Pelodiscus sinensis: one gene and its partners. The protein of the gene in region 3 interacts with the protein of the main gene of each other region in a pairwise test. Links are inferred from orthologs where the notes say so. Each region holds a gene or a part of one and is shown on either strand. Other genes may lie near its edges.

Region 1 (6,879 bases), on a different chromosome or scaffold from region 3:
CAGGCCTCCCTTGGGGCGGGGTTGCCTTCCCATTTAATTTTTCTTGCCCTAGATCACTAGGGTTTCAGTGATGGGGAGGGAGGTTTGGGAACTCAAAGCAGTTTTGCAAACACCACAGATAGTTGGAGAAATTCATGCAATCGGGCTCTTGCCCTGAGCCAAAGCCCTCCCTATAAACCCAGCCCTCCATACAGCGCCGCACACAGCCCTTCCCCCTTCCTCACAGCTGCAGCTAAAGGTGCACTGGAGCACAAGGACATCTCTGGCCACCCCAATTTCAGCCATCAGCATTAAGATCAATGTGAAGAGCAGCACCGGGTGACCGGCTTTACACAGGGCGGCCTTCTGGGCCCTACTTAGTGTAGGCTTGGTCTTTTGGTTACACATAGACGGCAGGTATCATAGGCAGGGGCAGGCAACTCCCTGGCTGGCCCTGCCCCCAGCCACCTCCCATTCAGCACAGATCCTTCAGCCTCCTGCCTGGGCTTCAGCTCTGCACTGCCAGCCTCCCCTGGGGCCGCCTGTGTTCCGGAGGGAGCGGGGGCATAGGCCACAAGTGCTCAGGTGTGGGGAGGGGGGCAGGGCATCTCAGCAGAAGGCATCTCCCCCAGCCCTAGGTTCACCCACTGCCCACGTGGGGTCAAAGTGGGGAACTGAGTTCCGTTCCTGGCTCTGCCACAGACTTCCTGTATGTCCTTAGGCAAGTCACCTAGGCTGTGTCTAGACTGCATCCCTTTTCCATAAAAGGGATGCAAATTAAGACACATAGCAATTGCAAATGAAGCAGGGATTTAAATCCCCCCCACTTCATTTGCATAAAAATGGCTGCCGCTTTTTTCTAACTCGGAGCTTTGCCGGAAAAAAGCACCAGTCTAGACGCGGATCTTTCGGAAAATAAAGCCTTTTCCGAAAGATCCCTTATTCCTCGTCGCCCCAAGTATGCTATTAAAAGTTAACCAGTTAAACAATATGATTAACCAGGGAGGGCTGGGGTTCCATAGTTGGGGGGGTTGCTCTGGCTGGGTCCAGCCCTCTGGTTAACTGGTTACCAGATAAGCAAGCTGGTAAGGCTAATGCTTACCAGGTAACCTTTTACATCCCTATTCCCGAGTGCACTCCAATACATTAAATTAAAGGCTTACGTTTGTTTAGACCAGTGTTTCTCAAACTGTGCTCCGTGGAGCCCCAGGGCTGCGTGAGACATCTCCAGGAGCTCTGCGAGGCTGACAAACTGGAACCATCGATAGGTACAACACACACAATCAGTGGACCCCTGGGGCTCCACATACATTTTTACGCATGTAAACGGCTCCGGAGCCCAAAAAGTTTGAGAACTGCTGGTTTAGACCAATAAGCCCTATTATTTTTTAATAAAGCCAAATTAAAGTAAGCAACTAAATGGACATCAATCACGCTCACATAAATAGTCACATCCTCAGTCACCAAACAGTGGAAATGGCTATTCCATGGGAGGCCTTGAACGCCGCAGGCCATCTGGCCGGTCATGTCTTTACCAAGATAAACAATAATCATTTTATCATGAGAAATTACAACAAACATCACAGCCTCCAAGTCTCCAGCAAGGCCCCAGTGCTGCAGAGCTACCCAAGGGAGCCTGAGTCTGCACTAGTGTACTTGGCTGAATGGGGGTGACTGGTTGAACTGGGGCCTAAAGGTATCAACTCCTTTCAGAACAAAGCATCTCCCGTTCAGGAGACAGAAGGGTTCCAGTCCCAGAGCGGCTCTGACTCCCATCCACTCTGACCTGGGGATCTCTTTGCCCCAAACCGCCCCCGGCCCCTCTCGCTGCTCCCCCCACGTCCCTGGCAATTCCTCAGCCTCTGCCGACTTGTTGCATTTCAGAGCTTGTGTCTTTAAAATATGAGCTGGAAAAGCCACGTTTTTCCCCAGTCTTTCTGCCTGGTACAAACCAGGAGTTGCCCACCCTCTTGGGTGGACTTGGGCCAACTTGGAGAAGAACTGTGAATCCAAGGCATAAGCCCCAAGCCGCCTAGGCAGGCGGAGTCCGCCAGGGCATGATGGGCTCCCTAGGTCCAGCGAGGTCCTGATGCCTGGCCAGCGAGTGGCACGTGCCAAATCACTGTCACCCACACGGCAGAGGGGCCCCAGGCGCCCCAGAGAGGGGACTGGCCGAGCCACTCTGCCCGCTGGAGAACTCTGCGCGCCGCGCCTCGCGGGGCCCTGGTGTGCGGTCGCGGGGGGCGCAGGAGCAGCGAGGCGCTACCCTGCGAGGATGGGCATTTGTCTGGGGTGGGGGCTCGTGGTTTTAATGCGCCGCGCGGCTGCTTCGTTCCCGTTCCCCCCACCCCCCCTTCTAGCCATGCCCGGGCGCCCTCCACATCTGGTTTCACTCAGCGCGCCCGCCCTTCCCCGCAGAGCCCAGCGCTCCCCGCCGCCGGCTCCTTCTCCTCTTGGCTTTCAAAAAACTGGGGAAGGGGGGGGGGGGACTCGACCTGGAGCCGCCGAGGCACAAAGAACCCGGCCCCCCTCCCCCCGCCGCGCGTAGGAGTTTGAAAAACTTTCGCCAACTCTACCTGAGCGGGCGGCGCCGAGCCCCGGGGCGAGGCTGAGGACGCAGAAGAAAGCGCAGGGCAGCAGCAGTGGCCATGGAGAGCAGGCGAGCGCCGGGAGTTTCATGCCCGGGGAGAGGTTTGCTGAAGGGTTTTTTTGGATGGAGGCTGGATCCCCCCTCCCCCCTCTCTCGCTCCTCGCAGAGCTCCTTGCGCTGGCTAATTGCGCTCTCCCGCTGCCCTCCTCTTGCTCCGGAGGGGAGGGCGCTGGAGGGGCTGGGGCGAGGGGGGCGGAAAGGCGGCGGAGGACACAGGAAAGTGGGTTTCTGCCTGTCTGCGGAGGATTCAAAGAGCCCCAGACACTGCGTCACCGGAGAGCCGGGCAGCCCGTCACTTGTGGGCTGATCCCAAAAAAGCAGGGAAGGGGGAAAAGCGTTTGAGGCTCAGCGCGCTGGAAGCAAACTTGGGCGGCGCTGGGCAGGGCGGCCGCCACCCTGGGCCGTGGGGAGCTGGAGGGCGCAGCCTTGCTCCGCTGGGGCTCGGGGCGGGGAGTGGAGCGAAGCGCGTGGGAGCCCAGCCGGGCGTCCCGGATTCCTCCCTCCCCGCGGCCGCCCCACGCCCCCTCTGCAGTGGGAGCTCTGGGCCGGGGCGCTGGCTTGGGTCAGCCAAGTGGACAGGCGAGGGAGCCGTGGGGAGAGGCAGTGACATTCCGTCCAGGTTTTCCAAATACAGGGCGAGCAAATGCACTTCGGCTCACTCATCCCTTGCACGTTGCACGCTAATCAGGCAGGTTGCAGAATCGGTCTCCTCCCCCATTGCCCGGGAGGAATAAATGCCCCAAGTCCTCCTCCTGGGGGTACCATGGTGCGACGGTAACACAAGGTGCTCTGCAGTGCTGCGCTCAAACCTACACGCTGGGCCTGCACCTAGCTCGGGAGAGCGACTCCACCCCCAGCCCAGAGTCTGGAGAGGCCTGCCCCGAGGCTGACACGTTGTGTGAACTGACTCCAGCCGTAGCCTGTTCCCCCTGCTGGGCCAGCCAACTCCAGTGCAAAGCACCAGGCAGCTCCAGGGGCTTGGGGTGTGGATGGGACCAGACTCAAGTCCTAACGGGGTTGTGCCCCCCTCCCCGTCCAGCTATGAAACACCCTCTAATGTTGCTTCCCTGCCCTGGAGGGACAGTCCTAGAGTCCAGCCAGTGGCCTCCCAAGTAGGGTGGATGGAAATAAGGGAAAGGCGCGGGGAGCCCAAGGGCTCAGACTTTAGGGAACCCATGGATTACCCCCTCATGGATTTCTCTCTCATCTCTCCCCCCCCCCCCCATGGAACCCAATTAGCAGGAACTTCAGTTTGGGGTTTGAAAGTTTAGGGTTTCCTGGTGTGAACACATTTCAGTACTAGGGATATTAAGGGAGCAGTCGATTACCCGATGAGCCTGTGTGTATCTGGTCATCAAGCTGACTACTCGCATACCCCCCGCCCCTTTGCTGCCTCTGTATCTGAAGCAGCAAGGGGCAGGGAAAGTGGGAGCTAGTGCTGGGGGGAGCCTTATAAGCTGGCTCCCTCCAGCATCGTCTCCACAGTGCCGCCTGTCCTTTCTCCCCTCCCCCGTTGCTGCCGTGAAGCAGCCCCTGTCTGCGGAGGGTCCCAACTCCTCACTGGGACCCCCCCCAGACAGAGGCTGCTGCTGGCTGGGCAGGCAGCCTGGCTCAGTCCCAGCTCACGCTGGGTGTGGGACCAAACCCCACTGTGGCTTTGCAATTTAAAAGGCAATAGGAGCCAGGCAGCCCGCCCCCGGGCACCTACTGCATTTTCAATTGCAGAACGACAGCGGGGTTTGACCCCAAGGCTGGGACGGAGCCAGGCTGCCTATCGACTAGTCGATAAAAAGTCGATCGACTACTCGGTTAGTTAAATACCCACCCTTTAATATCCCTATTCAGTACGGCTCCCGGTAAAGGACGGGGGTCGCCCTGAGGAACAAAGCGATGGAAGACGGTTCGCTCTGCCTGAGGCCACACAAGACGACCCAATGAGTCCTTCTGGCCTTACGTCTAGGAATGGGGCAGCCCCAGGATGTTTTCCTCCAGTTCAACTGGCCTCTTCTAACTAGGCTGGCCCACCAGCGCTGGGGTAGGCATCCGGGGGGGGGGGGGGGCTGCAGGTGGTTCGGCTGTCAATGGTGCTGGGATATTTTTAATAGTGGGGGTGCTGAAAGCCAGCCCCCCTATCTCTGTCCAGCCCCGCTCCAGAGCTGGGGCTGGGAGCAGAGCTGTGCCTCTGGGAAAGGGAAGTCAGACAGAGGTAAAAGGGCCAAGGGGGGGCTACCCTGGGCGTGGGGCAGCAGCCAAGACCCCACGTCAATCATGTGAGTGCTGCAGCACCCCCAGCCTCCTTGTTCCCACACCGGTGTTGGCTGGAGGAGATGAGGAGGGAGCAAACTGGGCAGGCATGGGCCATCTGTGTCTCTCCTGCCCCCTTTGCCCAGGGCTGCCCCTATGGGCTCATCAGCACTATGTGGGGCGCACCCATAGCAGGCTGGGCGAGCGTGTTACCGGGACTGATAACAATTCACTGGGGGCAAGAGAGTCAAGTCAGGCTGCTTCCCCCGGGCCCTGTTCACCTGCACTAGGCCAGCAGTTCCTCCGCCACCTCCCGCTCCCCCTTCCAGAGAGGAGGTGCCCAAAGCAGGAGAGAGAGAACTAATGAACTAGGGCTAGAAGCAGGGTCTCCGGAGGGAGAGGGACACAGAGACTGGGGGAAGCTGCACACGGGGATGAGAAGAGCCCTGGGGAGGTGGGGAAAATGCTGGTGCAGGGTTAGGGTCAGAACAAGGGAAACGGGCAGTACTGGGGAAAGAAGTGATGGAGGGGTACACGGAGGTCACTGAGGTGCTGAGCACAGAGAGAGCAGTGGGGATGTGTCAGTACGGGGCATGTGACACATAAGAATGACCGTACTGCGTCAGACCAAAGGTCCTATATCCTATTTTCTGACAGCAGCCAGTGCTAGGTGCCCGAGAGGAAGTGAACAGAACAGGGAATCATCAAGTGATCCATCTCCTGTCACCCATTTCCAGCCTCTGGCAACCAGAGGCTAGGGCCACCATTCCAGTTCATCCTGGCTAATAGCCATTGATGGACCTAACCACCATGAACGTATCTAGCCCTGTTTTAAACTCTGTTAAAATCCTGGTCTTCACAGCATCCTCTGGCAAGGAGTTCCACAAGTTGACTGTGTGCTGAGTGAAGAAAGACTTCCTTTCGTTTGTTTTAAACCTGCTGCCTATTCATTTCATTTGGTGACCCCTCGTTCTTATGCTATGTGAGCAAGTAAATAACTTTTCCTTATTCGCTTTCTCCACACCAGTCATGATTTCATAAACCTCGATCATATCTCCCCTTAATCTCCTCTTTTCTAAGCTGAAAAGCCCCAGTCTTTGTTCATACGGGACCCATTCCAAACCCCTCATCATTTTTGTTGCCCTTTTCTGAACTTTTTCCAATGCCAAGAGATCTTTTTTGAGACGAGGCAACCACACCTGTAGGCAGTATTCAAGATGTGGGCGCACCATGGATTGATACAGAGGTAATAAGATATTTTCTGTCCTATTCTCCATCCCTTTTGAAATGATTCCTAACACACAGCAAAGCAGTTCTGATTACTAGCCCCTCTCTTCCCCGGCGCTGGGTGAAGCGATCCCTGTAGTTTGGCTGCCTGCCTTTGGCCTCATAAAGGCTTTTGGACACTTTTTCTTTGGGACTCTCCCCCTCCCCCCCATCCCTCCACCGTTTGCAGCAAATCTCGGAGAGGCTCCTCTGGGTTCCCTACTGTCAGGAACCTGCGGCCCTGCATTGGGGATCTATCCCCAAAAGCACCATGTACTGGCGCTGACACGCGGCTCCATCATCCCGTGACCTAATTGAGCTCTGCCCCCCAATCCCAAGTGAACCCCCCTGGGTGTCAAAGGGACCCTAGGGTGCAGGAAGAGCTGGGGAAGGTCCCCGAAGCTAGGGACATGCAATACTAAGGTGGAACAATGCAGGGATAGTACAGGTGGACTGGAGTCTGGACATGGGCTGGGGTTCAGGATGCAGAGAGACAGGCAGATAGCGTGGCAGGGGGCTAGGATTGGGGGCGGGACCCAGGAAAAGAGGGAGCTGGGAGCAGATCCTGAGGCAGATGAAGTGAGGGGACAGGAAATGGGGCCATAAGGTGCAAGCCACTAGACAAGGAGACCAATGGCATGCGGGGAGGACCCCAGGGGCAGATGGGGTGGGGGCAGGTTGTGGTGGGACAGGAGGATGGGGAAGGGCAGAGTCCAGGCAGGCAGATAAAGTAGGAGGTA
Region 2 (7,578 bases), on a different chromosome or scaffold from region 3:
CAGGAGTAAATGGAGGACTGCAATGGTACTGGTGCCTAAACCAGGTGGAGTGGTCAGGTTCTGTGTGGACTTCAAGAAGGTGAATGCCGTCTCACAACTTGATGAACACCGCGTGCCTCATCTAGATGAGCTGCTGGAGTGGTTGGGCCACACAAAGTTCATGTCTACCTTTGATCTAGCCAAAGGCTACAGGCAGATCCCTTTAACGCCAGCATCAAAGGAGAAAATGGTGTTTCCAACACCCTTTGAGCTGTTTCAGTTTACCACAATGTCCTTTGGCTTGCATGGGGCAACAGCCACTTTCCAGCAGCTTATGAACAAAGTACTGGGTCCCCACAATACATGTGCAGCTGCCTACATTGATGTCATTGTGGTCTACAGTAACAGTTGAGCAGAACACATGCAACACCTAAGCCAAGTTCTGAAGCCTTGGCAGAGGCAGGCCTTACTGCAAATCTGGCCAAATACCACTGGGGCCAACACGAGGTAAAGTATCTGGGTGACACTGTCAGCAGAGGACAACTCCAGCCAGTGATAGATAATGTGCAAGTGCTGCGAGTCTACCCCACTCCAACCACAAAGAGGCAAGTGCGGCAGTTCTTAGGGATAATAGGATATTACCAGTGCTTTATACCAAATTTTGCCACCCTAGCTACCCTTCTTACGGACCTCAAGAAGAAGCCCCAGTCTCATCACATTGAGTGGTCAGAGGACTGTGAAGTCGTCTTCAAGACCTTGTCTGAGCAGATGATCTGGGAACTGGTGCTCATCCAGCCAGACTTCAACAGCCTGTTTAATCTACAGACAGACACCTCAGAGACAGGTCTAGGAACAGTATTATCACAAGAGGCAGGAGGGGAAGAACACCCCATTTTGTATCTGAGCCATAAACTGTTCCCATGAGAGGCACATTACTCCACAATAGAAAAGGAGGCTTTTGTGGTGAAATGGGCAGCAGAGATCCTGAGGTATTATCTTTTAGGGAGCTGATTCATGTTGGTTATAGATGACACACTGTTAAAATGGTTCCACACCATGAAAGACACCAATGTCAGAATCTTGCGCTGGTACCTGTCACTCCTTTAGGCATTTCAGGTTGCTCACCAGACTGGAAAAGTCCATGCTAATGCCGACTTATTTTCATGGGCCGGGGAGTTTGGGGAAGAGGTGCCCCCCCAAGAACACCACTTACGGGAGAGAGTATGTGATGGGGTGTACCAGTCCTGCACTGGGAAAGCTGGTCTTAACCAGTCTCACCTGGCTGAGGAAGCCCTGACCCTGTAGCCCTGCTGGGGATGCTTAGATTGCCACCTAGGTATTAAAAACCTGGAGAGATGCTCAGTCTGGGCTGGCTGCTGAGGAGGAAGGAGGCATTGTCTGAGCTCCTGCAGGAGAACTACCAGAGGGACCAGCTCTGGAAACCAGCCAGCAAAACACCAAAACCACAAAAGAGGGTATGAAGGAAGGCCAGCAGAGACTGGTAGGAAGTAGCCCAGGGCGGGATATTGTTGCCTGTGGCTCTCTGCGTGTTGCGGTGGGATTCCCCACTGCGAGAACAGTGGACCATGCCACTGCTAACAGGGCCTTGGGCTGAGACCCAGTGGAGTAGGGGGGTCCTGGGTCCCCCTACCACTTCCTGAATCCCCGAGCTGGAGGGATCCAGCACCTATTTATTACTGACTCTGGATGCTAGGCTGCACTGTCTTAATGAGAGGGGAATTTACTAGAAACTCAGGCCATTAGGCCGTGCTGCCCTGATGAAAGGGGTGTTTACTAGAGACTCCAACTGCCAGGCAGCACTGTCCTGGTTGGAGGATTGTTTACTGTAGACTCCAGCTGCTAAACCACACTCTCTGGGTGAGAGGGGGATTTACTACTGACTCTGACCACTAGGCTGCACTGCCCTAGTGAGAGGGATGTTTACTAGAGACTCCAGCCATTAAGTCGTGCTGCCCCAGTGAGAGGGGCATTTCCTAGAGACTCCAGCCATGGAGCCACACTGCTCTGGGAAAGGGTCGAGTGTATTACTGATATTTTTTGAAGAGCTGCATTGCAAATGTTATTTAAGCAGACTCTGAGTACCCACTGTCTTCACATCAAGTCACTGCTTGTGAGTCACCAAGAGATATGAATAAGCACTAGAGGATGAAAGAAAAAAAATATTTACCTTAAAACAATCAGAGTTCTTTGTGATGTGATGTCCATATGTATTCTACAGCCTGCTCTCCATCCTTGTTGCCATAGAATTCTTTCATATCTGGATTATGCAGTAGCACAGGAGGTGAATAGTGATTAAGCTTGCTCTAGTCTGTGTACACTTGGCATGGGAGCACAACCACCAAGTGGACACTGCTGGCCAAAAGATTCCAATCTCAAGTTCATGGGATACATGTGCACCAAGAATAGACTACATATGGACAACACTTGTTGAAGAATTTCAGGTACTAGAATAGGGGTGAGCAATAATTTTTGCCTGGGGGCCACTTCAAAAATTTCTGAAGTAGTCCCAGGCCACCCAGGAAGGGGTAGGGCCTAAACAGAAAGGGGCAGGGCCTAAATGGGAAGGTGCAGGGCTACCCTACTCCCAGACCATGATTGATCTGCGGGTGGGGAGAGCCCCTTTGCCACCCTTCCCACTAGGCACCCATGCTCTAGAAGAGGCTTGGCATGCTCTCCCACCCCCAGGCCAATCAGGACCTGGGGGCAGGATAGCGCAGGAAGTCTCCTCCTGCCCTGCGAGGTGCCACAGGCTCCTCGCAGGGCCAGGGCAGAGTGAAGGAAGCTTCACGCCGCTCCCCTGCTCCCAGGCCCAGATTGGCTGGGGAGCGCACAAAGCCTCCTCCGCTCTTCCCGCCACTTGGCGGGCCAGATCCAGCCTGTGGAGGCCCTTTTGCCCACCCCTGTACTAGAAGGTACATTTTCTTAATCATGATGAAAGGTGCTGAAGGCATGAATAAGAGTTTCAGAAAGGTTTGTGGGCAATGTCTTAGGGATTAGAAGCAGAATTATAGCGTTGAGCAATAAAAGAGGCACAAGAAAGTTGTCAATTTTGGGATGAAGTAAAAACATAAGGTTTGAATTGAACAAGAAGATAGACATGGTGAAGTTTCACTTATAATTTATTTTTTTTAGGGCTAGGTCCCCCCTAAACAATAATAAAGAATAGTACCTTGTACCACAGATAAGCTCACTGATTTCAACTGTCACTGTGAGACAAAATGGCTAAATCTGGCCTTAATGAGTAAATTAACAGTTTTGGATATATTGTGTGGCTAAGGTGGAATGAGTAGCTGATGAGGTTGAGAATGACAGAGCGAGGAAAGCTTTTCAACAAGTGGCCCTATGTTTCACATTATTATCTGATTACCTGGACATATGCTTTTCATCTTCAAGGCATTTTACAAATAGTACATAGTTATTCCTCAGAATACCCCTTTCAGAGAATTGTGTAAATGTTATCTTCATATCACAGATAGTGAAACTGTGGTAGAGAAATCACCTGACAACTGAACCAATGTCAGACTGGGAACTAGAAATGAATATATCCCGGCTTCCTGTCCCATTCCCAAACTACAACTCCATGCATTCCATCAAGCCCAAAGGCTCCTCACAGCTGCAAAAAGCAGAATGTGAAAGCACCTGCAAGAACATACAGAGTTTCAAATATTTGTTTCAGAAACCTGACATTTCAACATCATGTTATATAGCAGTATACAGAAAACCCCAGTTTTGTTACTTGACTTTGCACTTTTTATAGATACCTACCATTGCAATGTGCCTCATTGCTTTTAAATTTGATATGAGAACAATGCAGATTGATGACACAAATAGAGAGGATAGCAAAGCAAAGCACCCAGGGACAATCAGTGAAATCCACTTGGAGGCTTAAGTGCCCATATTCAGACATGCACACACATGCCTATTCAGGACCATGGTACACTCAGAAATGGAACTTGAAACAGCATTCTGTATGCTCTTAAGCACTGTCATATTGTAAGCAAAAATATTGTTTAAAAACCAATAGGTACTACAGTCACTGCATTAATTGTCAACCTTACATATTTCTTTGAACTGAAATTCAACAGGAGCCAACCATTCTGTGGTGGACTTCATTTGCCTGACTGTATGTTCATACACAACCAGTGGGTTTTTGTCTTGGTTTGAATCTGCCTGGAAGGAAAAAATGTTCATTGTGATCTGAATCTAGGAAGGAAAGCTGTGGTGAATGATCCATATAGTAAGGACAAGTACAAGCATTAGAGGTGTCTGTGTGTGTCTGTGTGTAAAAGCCAGTCACGTGAGATGCTAAGAACTCGGTAGGAGAATATACTATAGGGCACAATCCTGTATTGGCTGGGAGGAGTGGATTAGATGATTTAAGAGAGATGGAAAGAATGGGGAAGAAGAAAGTCCCCTGATCATGTAAAGATAAAGCTCCCACGAAATGCACAACACACACCCACACAGCAGCCTCCCTCCCCTTTCCTTTTCCCATTTAATATCCACATCCCAGTTTTCCTGCCTCCCTCAGGAAGTCCTGACTGCCAGAATAACCCAGTCTGGTTGGAAGGATCATTAGGAAAACAACAATAGCTGGTGTGATACTAGCTCGAGCGGCTGCCGCTGCTGTAAGGAATTGAACTGTCATCTATGTAAATACAGCTCTGTTGGAGTCACATGTGCAGCAAGGGGCATTGTTGGCAAAGAAGAGAGGAGGAGGAGGGGAGGGGGAAGAGAGCAGAGCAGGTCTGAACAATAGAGAGAGGAGGGGGGTTGGCAGAAAGCCTGCTTTTGCTGGAGGTGTTGGGGGGAGGACTCCAAACCCCACACGACTGGCAGGCAGTGGGAGCAGCTGCTGCTAAGCCCAGGGAGCAGCAGCCGCAGCAGAGCTCATCAGACACCATGGAAGGGATGATCCCGGTGGTGCACGGCTGGGCTAGCTGCTGAAAGCGCCTCCAACCCTCCTCCCTCTCTCTCCCCCTTTGCTTCTCCTCCTCCCTAACTCACTGGATATTAGCAGCAGCTGGGCTCGCCTCTTCTTCCCCCAGCCATGAATCCCGCAGAAGGGGCAGCGGAGGAAGGTGCTGTTCCCGATTCCGAGGTGGATGCTTTTTTCCGAACAGGTAAGGCAGGAATGGGGAAGGGGAGATGGAGGAGGGAAGGGGCTGCCACCGCCTGTCTGGCCGAGAATGGGATGCGAGAAAGGGATTGTTTTGCGTTGGCACCATCCTGGAGTGGATGGCCGCAGGGAACTCGCTGTCTTGCTTTGTTTGGGGGCATGGACAGGGTTGGGGTCCGCTGGGTGAAGGATTCTGATTCTCCCCTCTTCTTGTTTATATTTTGTTCATTGTCTATTTCCCCTCTGCTCCCCCTCCCCCTTCTAAGCCTTGGTGCCAGAGTGACATACACTAAAAGGAGAAGCCCCTTCTCTGGGCAAAGGCGCTTTGTGTTAGGGTTGTTTTCAAAAGCACTTAGCGAATTGACTGGGGATTGGAAAGTGGTGGCTGTCAGTTTCAGAAGAGAACCAGATTTATTTCCCCCCTCTTCTTGTTTCGTTTCCATTTGTTCCCTGGCTTGCTAGAAAATGATGCTGCTCTTCGCTTGTTACACAGGAATGGGGCGATCTTAGATCACTTTTTAAATGCAAGAGGGAAGGGATTACACATCCTCCCAGTTCTTGCATGTTACAAGATCTTAACATTGCAGGAAATGTAACCTTACTCTCTCCCTTCCTCTTCGGAGATTGGAAACACACAAAAGCCTCTCTAAGACGTTTGTTGGTAGCTTGTGAGAACTCCTCACACAAAAAGACATGGCATTTGGTCTTAAACATGCTTTCAAATTGAGTTATAGGTAGGGATCTGTTGATGGAGCTAGAGCTCCAATTTTAACCATCCTTAGGCATATTGCCATAGTGTATAACTGCTTCCTGGATCCTGCCACTGTCAGGTTGGAGAATAAGGGGGGAAAGGTCAGTAAATAATAATCACAATTAATTATTTTGAAGAGGAGTTACTTTCATCCCTCCTTCAGTCTAGTAAATTTGTACTTTCACTTGAAAACTATAAATATATTATATGTGCAAGTTCTGTCATACCCTTCCATCTCAAACCACCTTTGCAATCCTTTAAAAAGGCTTTGTTAATCCAGTGCCATCAGTCATAGATAATGTGGCAGGGTACTGGACATTAGGGATGCTAGAAGTCAACACAGGTCATTACTGATGGGAAAACTGGTGAGCATATTTGCCTGGGTATCTCATTCCTACTGAAGTAGACTTTCGTTAGAAGGATTCAAGAACACATCCAATTGTGTATCAATGAGTAGTGTGAGAAATAAATGTCCTCCAGTTTTAGGGGACAATACTATTACATAGTATAAGATGAAATGTGACTCTGCTTCAGGCCATATTCTTTAAGAAATGTGTCTACACTACAAACCCACATAGGGTATTATGAGTTCGGTGTGCCTTATCTTTGAAACATAATTTTATGTAGGATCAAAGCCCCAGGTGAAATAATTTATGGAATTCATTTTAATCCCCTAGGTGGAACTTTAAGAAAGTATTACATACTACTTGTTGGATTTTTAATTAAAATTGCAAAGGATTAAATGCTCACTCATAAGGGTATTGACCCTGGTAGTCTGGATTTGACACTTACTGCCACAGCTGTTTGTCAGGGCTTTGCTTTTCAGCTGCCTTCTTCCTTCTACCTGATCATTGGTTATACAGATGGTTTCAGGCTCCAGTTACAACAAATCTTATAATCACCAAAACTTTAAAGGAGTTCATTCCTGCAGATCTGCTACAACTGTGTGGACTGAACCATGTTTATGTGAAAATGCTTTGATCTGGAGGATAACTATAATAAGGTCTGACTTTGCATATCTTGTGATCCATTAAGCCAATGAATATTTGCCTCCTGATACTCTGCACGGCTACAAGTAAAGCATTATAGATTTCCCATACCCCAGTGGTGTAAATGTTCTTGGGCTATTGAAGTTTTGGAGAATGCACTTTAAAAATTAGCAATTTTTCTTTTTAAAAATGTATGTTGCTTCAGGACTCTCCCCCTTAAAAGCTTAAATCATTGCATAATGACACTCAATTTCCAGCATAAGAAAAGATGATAAAATTGAATTCAGAGGGACTGTTCACATTTGTGCGCAGATTATAAAAGAAATCAGGCTAAATAAGAAAAGAACAAACACTCAGAGTCCCATGATCAAACATTTTCCTGTTCTGTGTCCTCCTCCTGAAATTTCATGCCTAAGGAATAATGAATATAACTTTGTTAGGTATCCTGTGCATTTAATTTAAAGGGTTTCTGGAGGTTTTTTGGCATTACATTTTATTCAAGGAAGTGAATAGTTTGCATCTGAATGATTCTATACCATCATGTGTCCTCTCATAACTATGATACTGGTTCATGTCTGTGAATTAGTAAACAATTTTTCTTTTAAACAGTATCAGTATTTTGTGCATATCAGGTATGTTTTAAAATGAATATAAATAACACAGATAAACTGAAATCCAGGCATCTGATGGTAGGCCTGACCTTAATGAAACTGACTATT
Region 3 (7,975 bases):
GGATATCAATACCAAAAAGTTATTAAGGGAACAATTTCTCTAACCTTGAGAAGTTGGAGATAGAATGGTTTGTTATGCCAAGTACACCAGGGATTCTTAACTATTTTGTAGCAAGAAACATGTGACTGACTGTGTTATTGGGGGCGAAAGAGTTGTTGATCTTCTACCCACAAGTCTAAGTCAATCTTTAAGCAGCTAATATTTACAAGAGACAGAGAACACAGAAGTAACTGTGGACACAAGACATCCCCTTTTGCAACAATGAAGATTTTCTGTTATCGTCAGGAGCTATTTTCCAGACTACTCCAGAATCTGTTTCCATCAGGTGAACTGGACCTTTAAAGCACAATTTTCATTCTATCCAAACTGGACCATCCTCTAGTTCATATTAATAGCATAGTTACAGTGTACAGATCAGAAACAACCAAGGTGACAGATCTATTGTAGTTATGTCAGTGCAATTTAAGTATATAGTTGCACAAATCAAAAAGGGAATTTTATATGTTTTAAACTGAACAAGGACAAATTAAATAGAGATCAGAAATCGATTATAACTGACTATTTCAGACACACAACTCTAACCACAAGTGCATACTACAACATACAAACATTCTGCCCAGAGATGGGCACAGAAATCTCTTCACCTGTATGAAATCACAAGATTCCTTGACTAGCAGAGTGTAATATGCACTGCAGAGGCAGCATGCTCCAGCAAAGGGAAGGGGAGGAGGAAGACAAGTGGCAATTTCAATCACCAGCAATCTCTCATAAGGAACAGCAGTGACAGAGACTGCAAGAGCCCTAGCTAGGCGGACGAATGACTGTTGGAATACGGCACAACGTGTGTGTGGGAAGAAGCTGTGAAGTTGGATCCTTCCTTGGGGTTTCAGCAAAGAGCTGCTTGTTCCCACTGCCTTCACGTGCCTCACACCAGATTTGGGATACTTAGTTTAAGCTTTTCAGGGCATCCCTCTCCTGGTGAAAAGTCTCTCCTGAAGAATGGACCAAGTTAACGCCTAAACCTGCCCTTTTCTCTGCAGGAACAGAAATAGTATTTTCAATGACTCACTGGACTTAAGTGCATTTGACATCATGAGCATATTTATGTATCCTAGCAACCATCTGACAGCAAACATTTTGCAGACCTTTCCCTTTTTCCATACACAGCAGTGAGACTACCACTTTTGGCAAGCAATATATAGGAGAGAGAGAAAGAGAAAGACAGAGAGAGAAAGGCAATCCAACCCTACTGCCCAACAGTGCTTTCCAGGCCCTGAGGATTGCCTTCACCAAAAAAAGTAATCCTGAAAGTGGGCTTTAACCATAGGTTTAGTGGACATGAAGGTGACTAACCAGCAGGGACAAACCACATTCAGCATCACAAAAGATAACCATTGAGAAAAATCCACTAAGAGCAGGTTCTCTCACAGACAGCTGACAGGAGCCTCTGTCCCAACCCACCAGTCAGTTGTAGTCAGCATCATCTCAGCTGCCCAGACTGCTGAAGTCATGTGAGCACAGCCCCAGCTCCTCCAACCGCCGCACCATCTCTGTGGGCCCTGAACATCATGCAGTCCCTGTGCCTGGCAGCCCAAGGACCCCCCCCCCCCGGGGACCCTGCGCCCTCAGCGCCTGGCAGCCCAAGGACCCCCCCCCCCGGGGACCCTGCGCCCTCAGCGCCTGGCAGCCCAAGGACCCCCCCCCCCCCCCCGGGGACCCTGCGCCCTCAGCGCCTGGCAGCCCAAGGACCCCCCCCCCCGGGGACCCTGCGCCCTCAGCGCCTGGCAGCCCAAGGACCCCCCCCCCGGGGACCCCGCGCCCTCAGCGCCTGGCAGCCCAAGGACCCCCCCCCGGGGACCCCGCGCCCTCAGCGCCTGGCAGCCCAAGGACCCCCCCCCCGGGGACCCTGCGCCCTCAGCGCCTGGCAGCCCAAGGACCCCCCCCCCGGGGACCCTGCGCCCTCAGCGCCTGGCAGCCCAAGGACCCCCCCCCCCGGGGACCCTGCGCCCTCAGCGCCTGGCAGCCCAAGGACCCCCCCCCCGGGGACCCTGCGCCCTCAGCGCCTGGCAGCCCAAGGACCCCCCCCCCCGGGGACCCCGCGCCCTCAGCGCCTGGCAGCCCAAGGACCCCCCCCCCCCCGGGGACCCTGCGCCCTCAGCGCCTGGCAGCCCAAGGACCCCCCCCCCCCGGGGACCCCGCGCCCTCAGCGCCTGGCAGCCCAAGGACCCCCCCCCCGGGGACCCTGCGCCCTCAGCGCCTGGCAGCCCAAGGACCCCCCCCCCGGGGACCCTGCGCCCTCAGCGCCTGGCAGCCCAAGGACCCCCCCCCCGGGACCCTGCGCCCTCAGCGCCTGGCAGCCCAAGGACCCCCCCCCCCCCCGGGGACCCCGCGCCCTCAGCGCCTGGCAGCCCAAGGACCCCCCCCCCCCCCGGGGACCCCGCGCCCTCAGGTGCCACATCCCCGCTGATCACCGCCCCGCCCGCACTGGGGCCCTAGGCCCTCGACTCGGCCCCCCTGCCACGCGCCAGCCGAGGGGCCGGCCAGAGGCGCGGGGAGGGGCCGGCAGTGCCGGGGGGGCCGCCGGTGAGTGACGCCCCCGTCACTAATCGCAGCTCGCCAGGGCTCCGGCTCCGGCCAATGGCAGGCGGGGGCGGGACCTGCCCCGTTGTCAGTTTACAGCCAATCCCGTGCGCTTTGCGGAGCAGGAACCGCGGCCCCGCCGGGCGCCCCCCGCCCCCGGGCCCCGCGCTCCCTCACGAGCCCCGGGCCCGCCACAGGGCGGCTCCCCGTCAGCCCCCCCGCGTGCCCGGCCCGCCCTGCCCGGAGCCCGCCCGCGCCGCGCGCCCCCCACTCACCGCGCGCAGCCCTGTCACGGCGGCAGCATCTCCCCGCTGCCTGCCCGGCTCCGAAGCCTGCCTCATCCGGGCTCCGCGGGGGCGGGGCCGCCGCTGTGACGGCGGGCTCGGGGGCGGGGCCGGGCCGCACGTCACAGCGAGGGGCGGGGCCGCGGCCCCGACGCGCCATGGGGAGGCGGGGCTCGGGGTGCGGCGGGCTCTGCTGCCTACGCCCCGCCCCGCGGAAGGGGAAGCAGGGCCGGAAATGCGGGTGAAATCGGGAAAGGGAGCCGCCCGGATCCGGTCACGTGGTAGCCAGGCCCCGCCTCGCGCTGGGGGCGCGGCTCAGGGGCGAGCCGGCGGGGGGCGCCCGGCCCGGGTGCAAAGGCGGCTCCGCGCTGGGCGCAGCGGGGAAGAACAGCGGAAGCGATCGGCTGAGAGAGGCCCGTGCACGGGGGGGGCGCTGACCCCCGCCCCCCAGAGGGGAGACCAGCCCCGCCCCCCGCACGCGCCCCGGGGCCGCTAATAGATTCCGTGCGCGCCTGCCCCGGCCCGGCCCGCGGGGGCTGCAGGGGGGCCCCGTGCAGAGGTCCCCGCCCCGGGGCGCGGCGCTGCGTAGACCAGCGAATCGGCCCGGCCCGGCTGGTCATGCTCATGTGAGGTCCAGGAGATCAGGCACCCCCCTAGACGGGCTGCTGTCACCCCACGCTGCTGCCTCTTTATCAGAGGCAGCAGCACAAAGCGACAGGCAGCCAGTCCGCGAGGGGAGCTGGTTTTTAAACCAGCTCTCCTCCTGGACCCCCTGACTCCCTGCACTGCTGCCTCTGATGTGGAGGCAGCAGCACGAGTGGCAGGGAGGTCTTCGGGAGTGAGGCCAGAGCGCACTGGCTGCTGGCGCTGCCCCTGGGGGCTATCTACTAGCCGTGTCACTGATAAGAATTCATGAGGTTAATTGACTATTTAGTTAACCGATATCTAACATCCCTAGTCGAGACCAGATTACCCCATCCCTGGGCTCTGATTTAGGTAAATATACACTATCCCAGCCCAGAGTAGAGGGAAGTGGGGGGGGGGGGGGGTAAGTTGAAGAGCGAGTCTGGCCCACGCTCAACCTGCATTAGCACTTCCTGGTACTACATCTGAAACAGGACCTGGGCTCAGTCCCACAGGATGGGAGCTGCTGCTGTGGCTTGCATGTGGGGTGAGGTCAGTCTCCAGGCTACCCCGTGGCCTCCCCTCTGACTGGGCCAGGAATAGGGCTGCAGTTCTGGGGAAGTGACACGCGATGAGGGTGATTAAAACAAAAACACAGTTTGTGGGTTGCCTTCGTAAAAAGTTTGGGAGCTGCTGATCTGGGGCCCTCAGGGAAGGGACCGTGGCTCGGTGTGGGTTCACGCAGCACCCTGCCCTGACCAGCTCAGATCTTCAGTGACTGCTCCATTGACTGCAGCAGAGCCACCGGGATTTACTGATCTAGGATCTGTCTTAATACGCCCCAGGACTAGTGCCCATGGATGTGTGTGTCTCACTTAGCTGCTCTATGCTCCAGTTCCCTGCTCTGCGACATGCAGCAGATGGTTCCCTGTCTGGCTTGGATGCTGGGGGGCTTGGTTCGTGTTTCCCGGAGGCTATGAGAAGGGCTCTGGGCGGTTTCACTGTCGTTCCTGCTGCGCAGCCCTTGTCTGCCACTCAGCTCCAGCCAGCCTATGCTAAGCCTTTCCCCAGTCAGAGAACCTATAGCGTAGCGATACGGCTGTGTACTAACATCTGGTCCCTCTCTACCCCTTCTCCAGCATGCCCCACCCTTCTCCCTACTCCCCCTCAGTCTTTTGTCTTTCTCCCCCCAAGTCCCGTATTCTAGCTCACTGCACGGCTGCTGTGTCCGGAATATCCGGGCACCTCGCACGCCTTGACCTATTGGTCTCACAGCATCCCTAGGTGGGGGGGAACTTTGCCACTGAGAAATGAGGGCCTGGATCCACAAAGGGACTTTGGCATTGCCTGAGTCAGCATCGTGGGACCTAAACCATCACAGGACCAACATTCGGTGATCCACAAAGCTGAGTTAGGGCCTCAGTGCATGGGGAAGAAACAGGCACCCACGAATGGGACCCACCAAAGCCAGTATGCTGGGGAGGGGGCTACCTCAGCCAGACAGCGGGAGATGCCAATGACGGGTGTGTGCTAAACCTTGCCCTCCCCTGGAGTACGGCACCTAGGCTGGGCTGCAGGTAGGTGCCCATTGGGACAGGTTGGCCTTGGGGTGCCACCAGGAGCTGGAGTACTGCTGAGCCCTCTGACCCACCAGCCTGAGCTGCTTCTCATACTGTGCTGCTGTGAAAAGCTGCAGATCTGCTCCTGGTGCTACACGTCCTCCAGCGGTCACACGGGTAGGGGCACACCCAGCTGCAATACAGGCAGGCCCCTGACCAGTCACTGCATGGCGCGGCAATAGAGAGGCTACAACTTCCCAGTTTAGGACCCCTCACTGGAGTATAGACCCCACATGATGCCATGTGGCACCGCACAGGGAATTGTACCGTGTCAGCTCATAGAGTTCCCCCACTCCCAATGTGGAGAGAAAATGCAACCGCCCCCCTGAGCTCAGATTTCCCAGCATTTCACTCCAAATGTGCTGGTTTGGATTAGCACATCAAACACGTGTATTAATGATTAAAACCCAAGCTTTTAAGGGATTAAAAGTGACAGCAAACAAATCAAAGCAGATCACTTAGTAAAAACGCAAATCAGGCCTAGGATACTGGAACGATAGGATACGAATTAGCAAACTCTCGCCCTGGCTGAGGATAGAACCAGGCTGTAGATTCTCTAGTTTTGCAGCTTGGAATCCTCAGGTTTTCATACATGGGCTAGAAACCCGTTAGCTTGGGGGCCCACACTGCCCCCAGGTCAGTCTTTGTTCCTCAGGGGTTTGGGGAGGCCTCTGGTGTGGGAGTAAAGAACAGCCTCAGACGTCTCTCTCCACCTTATATCGCTTGGACACATGCAGGAACCCTTTGCTGGAAACTCAGCTTGTGGGAAACGTTGCCACCCCAAGATGGATGCCCAGAGTCCTTGCGTACCTTGCTGAGCCATAACGTACCAGGGTCTGGGACAGTCATAGCAAGGTGAGGTTCTTCCAGAGTCCGTTGGCTTTGCTGATGGGCCGTCAGCGTTGTCTGGCTTCTTCAATGCCGCCCCGGAAAGGCTGGTTGTGGGTGTCGCCCAGAGTGAGCACAATTTTCATACAGACCCAGTGTCGATGTTCCTAACGCTAGGGACTGGAGTGACACATGCACACAAACAGAATAGGCAGAATCAACGAATCACAGCCCCCCGTGACACCTCCCATCACCTGTCTTACACAAAATGCATCGTACTGATGCCATGGCCGTGTCATCATGAGATCCCTGACGAACGTGGCATATAATGTCACGTCCCTGCCTCCTAGCAATACGTGCCTGGGAAGGATCCTATTCTGGAATTAGGCGGCTGCCTTGCTCCTCCTGTAGCAGCGGGGGAGGGGGAGCAGGCTGACCTCTCTGCGTAACTTTTAGCCCAGTGGTTTTAGCACTCACCTGGGACGTGGGGGACCTGGGTCGAATCCCTCCCTCTGTGCTGTCTGCACTCGAGAGGGATGGAGCCTGGCCACGGAAGGGAGCCTGCAGGAACCCGGCTTCCCCGCCGCACGTCCCCCAGCTCAGTGGCTGCAGGTGCACAAGTAGGATAATCGTGTTCGGCTCCCCATGAGGCAGAGGGGGAACCGAGCCCAGGTCTAACCGGTGGGCTCGGTTAGAAGGTAGGTGCTGCTTCCCCTCCACTGGCCAGATTCTGAATGGGACCAAGGCCAGTAGGTGGCCTCTGAGTGCCCCTGCCCAGCCCAGGCCCTGCAGGCGAGTGGGGTGCCCCTCCACCTGTCTTCCCCCAGCTTGGGCATGGCTCTTGCGCTGAGGCAGGAGCTAGGCTACAGCCACCTGCTTAAAAGGAGGCAGCAACGCGCACGCCCAGGAGCGGAGAGGTCGGTGCCAGCTGGGCACCTACAGTTCAGGGCAGCCTAGTGCGGGGCTTTGTAAGTCACAGCGGTGACTGAACCAGGCTTTTAGACACAGAAGTGGATCTGGGCCCATGCGATTTTGTGACGAGGGCGGATAATAGCAGGAGCAGGCTCAGGGACCCAGGCTCCAAATGGATCTCTGGTTGGGGCGGGGCAGGGCAGGAGGGGGCGTGGGGACCGGGCACTATTCCTGCCCCTGCCAAACTGTTCCCACACGTCAGGGTCTCCAGGGCCGGCAGCGCAGCTCTCTGAGCCTTCCCCAGCAACACGTATTTAACACAGAGTCAAATTCAACGGGCCCGCTTCTCTGAGGGAAGGTCCCACATGTCCCGGGTCCAAATAGCATCCCTGGAAACAGGCAGAAGGTTAATGGATGATGATCCGCACTATTGTGGGGTGCCAACAATTGCACAAATGCTCCAAATCTCTGCCAGCCCGCCGGGGTCCCAGAACAGATTATGTAAACTAGGTCAGTACATTTGAAAGCCGTAAGGGACTGTTACGATGGCCTAATAAGTCAGACAATGACAAGCTCAGAACGTCTGGGTGAACCACAGCGGATCCTGTAGCAAGACGCAGAGCTGGTCTTAGAGGCGGGCGAGCTAGGCGGTCTCCCAGGGCCACCATTTTCAAGGGGCTGCCGACAGAGCTTGTTTTAGGGACGGGCCACGATCACATTTCAGCCCGACCTCCTGAATCCTCCGCCCAGGTTTCCCTGGTTACTCCCTGACCCTTTTTTTTTTTTGGTCCAGTATTTTTTTTAAACCATCTGGCAACCCTACGGGCGAGCCAGGCAGTCACCCGGTGCCGCCAATTGGTTAGGACCAGCCCTGGCAAGACTTCAATTGATGGAGAAACTACCGCATGCCTTGGACAGTCGTCCCAATGCTGAATCGCCCTCTCCGTGTGGTGGCTTGGTTGTTTGTTTTGTTCTATTTGTAACTTATTTTTGGTTTGAATTTGACTATCTTCAGCTTCCAGCCCCGGATCTTGTTATGCTTCTGGCTGGTCCATCAGAGCTCTCCGCTCTCAGAAATCTTCTCTCCACATAAATACGTAACCACAGACTACGATTAAATCCATTGCA
Region 4 (7,797 bases), on a different chromosome or scaffold from region 3:
CACCGGAATAAATTGCCTAGGGACGTTGTGCAATCTCACTTAGGGTACGTCTTGACAACATGCCTCTGTTGCCAGAGGCATGTAGATTAGGCTACCAGGCATAGGAAAAGAAGCGGTGATTATTTAAATCGCCGCTTCAATTGAAATTTACCTGGCTGCCACGCTGTATCCTGGGTGGTCTACAAATGCCTTTGATGTCGACACCCGTGCGTCCAGACTACTGCGCTGAGCTGACAAACAGCTGATCGGCTCAGCGTGGCAGCCAGGTAAATTTAAATTGAAGCGGCGATTTAAATAATCACCACTTCTTTTCCTACGCCTGGTAGCCTAATCTACATGCCTCTGGCGACAGAGGCATGTTGTCTAGACGTATCCTTATTGGGGATTTATGAGCAGGTTAGACAAATACCTGTCAGGGATGGTCTAGATCAGGGTTATTCAATTTTGGAAGCCCCGGGGGCCACAATGATACAGCACAAGCTTAACTTAAGCGTGGCTGCATATACATGCAAACATATATGCAAATAGCTTTTCACACTGACAGGCATGAATATAAAGTTTAAGGCAAGACTACGGAACACATAGGCCCCATTTAAGCCTGTTCTGCTGAAATTAATGAAAATGCAATATTTACCCAATTTCTTCCCATATAACAGCACTTTTAATGAGCAATAACAGTCCAGGAAGTTAACTACTAAAATGCCTATCAACAGAAGACCATTGTATTGACTACTTTTTTGTTTTGGCTCCCACCAACGGGCCACATGTTGAGCCCCGCGTAAACCTAAACTGTACAACAGGCCGTAAACAAAGGGGCGATGGGCTGCAGGTGGCCCATGGGTCATGTGTTGAGTAGCCCTGGTCTAGATGGTACTTGGTCCTGCCATGACTTGACCTCTTGAGGATCCTTCCAGCTCTAGGATTCTGCAGAAACCAAGTTGAAAGGTTTTTAAGGAAATCCCAGCACAAAGGACCGCAAGAGCACTGGCTCCACATTCCTGTGTCAACACCTACCATAGAGAATGTCCTGGCTCTACCCTAGGCTAAGTCTTTGGTGTTGAAGAACCTACAGTACCTGTATAAACCTCAGTAGTGAGAGCACCATAACATTTGGTGGCATCCCTAGGCAACACTAAGCCTCCTTCTCCTCACGGTCATGAAACCACATTCTCCACATCCACAGGAGAGAGTTCTCTACTCAAAGTCCATAGAGAATTTCCCCTGCAGGGCTCACCAGGACTGGCACTGGGTTTGCCCCATCCAAATCCATCTTTGTTGGGGTTCCTGGGGTCCATCATTTTACACACTGAGAAGCTGGTCTCCATCTGACATATGGAAGCAAAGCAGGTCATTGTCCCTGCTGGAGTACCAGGAGGAACTGGAGATAAGGGCACAGCAGGCTTTGTGGCACTGGCTATCTTTTTGTTCTGTGTTTGTACAGTAGCTAGCAGAAGTGGGGCTCTGAGACACTACAATAGTACAAAAACAAACAGCTACCATTCTGTATCATCACCAAAGGAATGTTCATCTTTATCTCCTGTTGCTTTCACTGGAGTTAGCAGTAACTTCAGTTTAAACACAGCTTTGGGTTGGTTTAGACTAAGAGTAAAACAAGCTTATTAACAAAGATGCAAGTTTTAAAAAAAAAGGGTAAAATTAAGGAAAAGGTGATTTCTTACTTCCATCTGAGCCAATTACCTCACCATGTTTCTTCCTAGAGCTACCTTCAAACTGGGAAAGAAGAAACTGTGGATGTGTCCTGAGCTTTTTATGTTGCCTTAATAGCACCAAATCTTCCTGGTTGTCGCCTCACCTCTTTGTAGCTATTTCTACCCATCTAACAGCCAGAGACCATCTTGTCACAGAATCTCCAAGTGAATCACATAGTGGGTCTCCACTTGCTGTCAACTAGTCGGCAAGCCTCTCCCTCCAAACACCAAAGCACGTACCACCCGATTACAGGCAGCATCTTCCTACTGCATCAGGAATGTTCATGTTTCTGATATTTGCAAGGCTTCAGTAGGGAGCCACAACATCTTAAGGAGCCAAGATACCTGTAGGGTAGGTAACCATTCTGTACATTAGTAGAGAGGCAGCTAGCAAGGAGGGTGGTATAAAACAAGGCACAGGGTTAGGAATTGATAAAGCAGACAAAAGGTAGAATGAGAAGAAAAGCACCAACCGGAAAGGAGAGGAGCTGAAAATGATTATTTTATTAAAAGCTTTCAAAAAAACACTTCAGTTGCTTAGTGAGTGTCTTTTTTCTTGTGAAATTCCATATCCCAAATGTAGAGTTCTCTTAAAATGTACATATATTAGTGAAAGAACTAGATTGGCCTGGTTTTCCAGTGACATCATTGAAAAATTGAGGACAAGAGAATTGAGTTACATATTTATGCTGGTGTCCAAAGAGTGCACATCCTGCTGCTTCCCTGCACCTACCCAACAGGTTTTCAACCAACATTCTTAAAGTGGAGGCTCCTTGATGATTAATCATATTATGACTATGGTTTCTTTCATTCACATACAACATGATTAACAGTTGGTAAAGCTGCCATTATCCTGTCCGACCTTTGCTGCTTGCTGTTGTTAGTCTGCCTGTCTCAGCATACAGAATCCAAGCCTGTGGTTGGAAGCAATATCTTGAAGAATTTGTGGGAGTGCTGCTTAATAATAGGTGCTCATCTTCCAGGGCAGAAGACAAGTGGATTTACAGCAAAGTGCTAGAAAAAAATAAGATTAACCCCTGAAAGGCATTTAGAGTGTTTTTACTTAAGTGTCAAGAAGCATGAGGACAGGGAGGCAGAATAGGAAATAACTGGGGGCTGATTAATGAAAACACTTAATCATGTGGCTAACTTTAAGCACCTGCTGGAGTACTTTCCTGAATTGGGACTTGATTCCTTCTAAAAATATCTGGGCATTGTATACTTTCATTTGTAACTAGTGAATCACAAAGAAATGTTATAATTTTCAAGGTTTTTCCAATCTTATAATACTGGTGGAGGGATTTCTAAGCAACTTCTACCTCTTTCTACATTCCAAGTTCCATTACTACACATCCTGTATAATATGCTCCAACCTTTCCTGGAAGATTTACTGCAGAATTCATTATCTACTCCAGATGTATTATTCAGCACTATCAGGAAGAGGGAACAGAGCAGTAGCAATAAGACAGCAGAAAGACATCAGGGTTCTTCCAGGTTAAAATTCATTATCGCTCTTTAGAATAGAGTCCAAACAAATAAATGAACTAGCTATGTTTAGAAACAATTACATATTGTTGAACCTGCTTGTCTAGACAGCAGTTTTTAATCTGGATCAATTTGTTGCACAAAGAATTGATAATGTGTATGTGCTAAATCCTGCAAATGTTCACTTAGACCACAATGGGGGTTTTAGCTAAGGTAGATCAGCCTACATAAGGGCAGCAAGATTTGGTTCTTTTGCTTTAAAAATACTTTTCCGTTGTTGATCTTTAACTTACAGCAATACATTAGGCATGAAAGCCTAGCATAACTGTAGCAACTGGCAAAACTCTCATCCTATTTCCCTAAAGTTGGATTTGAAAATACATCACTCTTTTGCAGTTTTGTCTCAGCTCCAATAACACAATGAAGAAATGTCCAAACATAAATCTTAATCTTTCAAAAGACTTACCTATATGTATAGCATTAATTGCAACAGCATTACTTGTATGCATAAAGCTATGGAGGTCTATAAACCCTTACTCATGTAAGGGCTCCTTGCTCCCGAGTAGTCCCATCACAGGGGTTTTGAACCTTTTGGGGTCTACAGACGAAGATTTCCAAAATGGTCTATACCTCCATCTGAATTTTTTTAGGCATCCGCAAAGGGGGAAAAAAGTTGAATACCACTCCCCTATTGCAATCCATGGAGAGTAAACAAGCATGACTCACGTGAGCAAGTTTTGCAAAGTAGAACCACTCCATTTAACAAGAAACAATTATTTTTTGGGGGGGAGGAAAAAAAGGACCAATCTCCATTATGCGGCAGGCTAACCACTCCAGCTTCTGTTTGGAAACAAACACCTGTTTGCCGACTTCAGCTCCAGGGCGTGAATCCAGCATACCTGGACTAACTCCAGAAGACTTCCTCCAGCAGCCATGTCTGAATTTCCCACCGTGTAACCCAGGCTCCTGGGCTGGCAGCTAGCGTCTTAAATACAGAACTCGGCCGTGTGTTTAAATTAGGCTCACGTGCCTGGCTAGTGCTAGGTGTGCCGTATTAGCTGGAAAATAAATCACATAGCCCGTGCCGAGCTAAAAAGGGGGGCAGGGCGGTGAACCCGTTAGCTACACTCCAGGCATAAACAAGACTTCTCAGCACTTAGCGAACGGGAACGCACCGGAGCGGGACTGAAGCCCTGGCGGGGCGCCTCGCTGCTAAGGCGGCTTACGGGACACAGGTCACCTCTCTGCTGACTCGGAGCCCGGCGACGGGAAGTTGCCTAAATCCTTGACAATCCCTCGCTCAACCTGCGCGGGCGGCTTGTGTGTGGCTGCAGCGTCCCGCCCTCCGCAGGGCCTGGGAAGGCGGAGTGGGCCTGGGAGCTGCAGCCCAGGGAGGTGGCAACACACACAGACGCGCTTGGAAGCGCCTCCCCTGGTCCCTCCCTTCTCCTCGCCCTCCCCGCGCACACACACAGCCGGCTGCCAATCCGTCCTCGGCTCGCTCACCCAGCGACAACATGCCTGCTTGGGAAGCGGCGGCGCCGGCAGGGGAGCAGTGCTGGCTCCCGGAGGATTATTAGCTCTGAACCAAGGGGTGGGGGGGTGGTGGTAGGGGGGAAGCCAGCACGCGGAGGACTGGGGGGGGTGCAAGGCAGAGACTCACCCTGCCACCCCCTTCTCCCAAAGAGAAACCAAGCTCTTAGTGCACTGGAGGAGCCCAGAGAGCAGCAGCCCAGCCAGGTAGTAAATATCCTTCATGCCCCGCTCACGCCTCTGCCTTTGCGGTTTGCTCTGCTCCATGCCCAGGGGCTGGGATTAGCCTGGCAGGTTACCCACACGGTGCAGGAGGAGACGGGGGAGCCAGCCCAGGCCTTGGTGCTGCTGCTGGCTGTTTGGGGAGGGAGAGAGGGGGCCTGTCTCTCCCCGGGATGGGAGGGTTGCGGTTGCATTTTGGAAGGGGGAGTTTCCTGAGGGTGTTGCGTCCGCGCCCCCTCCCGGGTGGTGAATGCAGAGAGGGATGGGAGGCAGGGAAGCGGGACATTGCTCCTCTCCGCTTCGGCTCCTGCAGGTAGATCCGGGGCCGGGCAGGCAGGCAGCAAGGCCAGCTGATTGGGAGGGGGAGGAGGGCAGCTGAGCCGGCCGGGGCCCGGGGCATGGCTGCACCAAGCGGCGCAGGAGGAGGTAGATCTGCGTTGCCTCTTCGCGCTGATCCCGGGGATCGAGCGTGCTTCGCGCCGCAAATCGGCAGCCGCGGCTGGGATTAGGCAAGAGGACAAGTCGCTTTGTGGAGGTTCAAGGACTCTTGTGGGTTGGCAGCGAGTGAGAAGACGCAGGCGGTGCTGGCAGCCCGCACTCTCAGATAGGCAGCTCCCCGCTTTGCTGCACCTAAAGGGGACCCGGGCCGCCTGCACCCGGTGGAGGCAGCTTGCACAGTGTGGGGGCCTGGACCTGCCAACAATGCCACATGTCACCTTTTCTTTTCCCCTGGGACTCTGCTCCCTCAGCCAGCGGTTCGCAAGCGCCTGGCAGGCAGCTCTTCTCTTCCCTAGCTGTCCGCAAGAGGGGGGCAGCCAGGCCAGGTGGCGTTTGTGGAGGGGCCGTGAGGAGGAGGAGGGAGATGGTGACATTACTAGGAATTGTTTATTTTGTGCTGGCAAAGAGCTCTCCGCTGCACAAGACCTCACGGTTCCTCATGGCTCTGACCTGAAGTGTGAGAGACCCAGAATAGGCAAGAGGTGCTGGGAAACCCAGAAGACACGGCTTTTCCTCTGGCGCTGTCAGAACTCCTCTTGCTGGCAGTGGAGTTATTCCTGACTCTTCCCCATTGTGTGAATGAGATGAGAGAAAGGCTCTAAGTTTGGCTTTTTCTGTCTTTTTTTAATTTTTAATATTTATTCAGCTGGGGGTTCCAGGAAGAAGGGGTTTGTTAGGAGAGATTTGAATGAGGAGGTTGTGGTGGCATTGGATGATGATATGTGGCATATCTAGCTGGCCAGTCTTTGAGTCATGAACTGAAGGATGCTACCCATCCCTTACTGAATTGCACAAGGTAACTCCGAGTGGAAGAAATGGGATGTTTATAATTACTCAATGGGCTTGTGAAACTCTCAAGCTTTCCCTTAGTATATCCTTATGTTCCTTTTTTCTTATCTGGAAGGGCGGTCCTCAGGTTGGTGCGCTCCTTGGCTTTCCCTGAGGAAAGGTTCTAGGAGTTGTCTCACTGAGGAGTTGAGAATAATTTTCCTTTATGGTGGAGAAGAGACGCTCTTGAGAGATCAGTCATGTACACTTTACAGCTCTCTCCCTCCCTTCAGCTTGTCCCTGAAAAACACAGCGGAGAAACTTAAAAACACAACAAATAGTCTGGTAGCACTTTGAAGACTAACAAAACATGTAGATGGTATCATGAGCTTTTCTGAAGTGGGATGTGCCCATGAAAGCTCATGATACCATCTACATGTTTTGTTAGTCTTTAAAGTGCTACCAAACTATTCCTTTTTAAAAAAAAATTTATCCTGTACAGACTAACTCAGCTATCCCCTGAAGCTTCTGCACAGTGGAGAAAATAATCACTTTTGTCCACCAATTCCCCTATTCGACATTTTCACAGCTGAAATGTCAGGAAGAGAAACTTAAAAATCTTTCCTTGAAGCCAAATCTGTGCCAGACATGTTTTTCTTTTTGGTTTATTATTGCACTTGAAGTGTTAAAAATCTCCTGAGGCAGTAGGGGAAAAACTAGGAAGGTTTACTATCTGCTTCTCACAGTTCCTCTTGTTCATACTTACAAGGGGAGGGGAAAGGAACATGTTGCAAAATCAGTTAAAGATTATGTAAAAGTGAAAAATTATATAAAAGTGAAACCTGAAAATATTTAGATAGCAAAGACATTTCACCTAGTTGTTTGGAAGCTTTATATTCTCTTTTTAACTCCTTATGGTATATGTAACTGTGACTATGCAGCAAAACACAATTAAAATTGAAGTGTCAGGATTTGTAATTATGTACATAGGAGTATGCTAGTGAGGATAATAGTGCATATGTATTTCTTGTGTAGGAGTTGCTTTTACTCTTGTTATTGAATCATACTATCGTATGGAAACCAGTAGCCTGACAAACTTTAAAAAAAAATATTTTTAAGACATCTAAATGACAAGGGATTTGATTAAATTCTGAGTTATACACCAGAGGAAGGCCTCAGGTAGTGAAATGGCCTTCCAGAGGGACTGCTGTGTTACTACAAGGTGGCTGTGGCAATTCTCACTCTGTGCTAGGTGCACAAGTAGTTAGTACAGTTCCAAAAGTAGTTAGCACTGCCAGGGAAGTAGTGAGGACATGGGCACTCTAGCCTGTTCCCACTGAAGACAGTAGGAATTTGAAAAAGCTTCACTGGTTTGAATGAGAGTAGGACTGAATGTGTGCTCACTCATGCAGTTCAGCTTGGGCACCATTCCCATTCAAATCAGTGGGAAACCTGTGTGAGTAAGTGCCCTGCAGGATGGAATCCCCATCTGGCTCACAAAGCACCTGCATAAGGCCCTCTTATGGTAGGACTGTGTAGAGTGTCAGAGGACCTGAATTTCCCTGCATGATGCAGATCCTGC

What was found.
Region 1: the proteins of NDEL1 (region 3) and MRC2 interact in a two-hybrid assay, tested with the Homo sapiens proteins (2 studies listed by BioGRID and IntAct). The link is inferred for Pelodiscus sinensis from reciprocal best matches to the Homo sapiens genes NDEL1 and MRC2.
Region 2: the proteins of NDEL1 (region 3) and KALRN interact in a two-hybrid assay, tested with the Homo sapiens proteins (2 studies listed by BioGRID and IntAct). The link is inferred for Pelodiscus sinensis from reciprocal best matches to the Homo sapiens genes NDEL1 and KALRN.
Region 4: the proteins of NDEL1 (region 3) and CCSER1 interact in binary tests that used the Homo sapiens proteins (3 or more experiments, as listed by UniProt). The link is inferred for Pelodiscus sinensis from reciprocal best matches to the Homo sapiens genes NDEL1 and CCSER1.

The regions. Positions count from the first base shown.
Region 1 is NC_134739.1:5,204,508-5,211,386, reverse strand, and holds the start of MRC2 (C-type mannose receptor 2), read right to left. Parts: upstream 3,018-6,879; 5' UTR 2,659-3,017; coding exon 2,556-2,658; intron 1-2,555. UniProt on the Homo sapiens protein: May play a role as endocytotic lectin receptor displaying calcium-dependent lectin activity. Internalizes glycosylated ligands from the extracellular space for release in an endosomal compartment via clathrin-mediated endocytosis.
Region 2 is NC_134717.1:10,318,279-10,325,856, forward strand, and holds the start of KALRN (kalirin), read left to right. Parts: upstream 1-4,571; 5' UTR 4,572-5,050; coding exon 5,051-5,123; intron 5,124-7,578. UniProt on the Homo sapiens protein: Promotes the exchange of GDP by GTP. Activates specific Rho GTPase family members, thereby inducing various signaling mechanisms that regulate neuronal shape, growth, and plasticity, through their effects on the actin cytoskeleton.
Region 3 is NC_134730.1:1,648,961-1,656,935, reverse strand, and holds the start of NDEL1 (nuclear distribution protein nudE-like 1), read right to left. Parts: upstream 3,004-7,975; 5' UTR 2,922-3,003; coding exon 2,856-2,921; intron 1,612-2,855; exon of another isoform or gene 1,462-1,611; intron 1-1,461. UniProt on the Homo sapiens protein: Required for organization of the cellular microtubule array and microtubule anchoring at the centrosome. May regulate microtubule organization at least in part by targeting the microtubule severing protein KATNA1 to the centrosome.
Region 4 is NC_134715.1:16,265,666-16,273,462, forward strand, and holds the start of CCSER1 (serine-rich coiled-coil domain-containing protein 1), read left to right. Parts: upstream 1-4,779; 5' UTR 4,780-4,934; intron 4,935-5,205; exon of another isoform or gene 5,206-5,262; intron 5,263-7,797.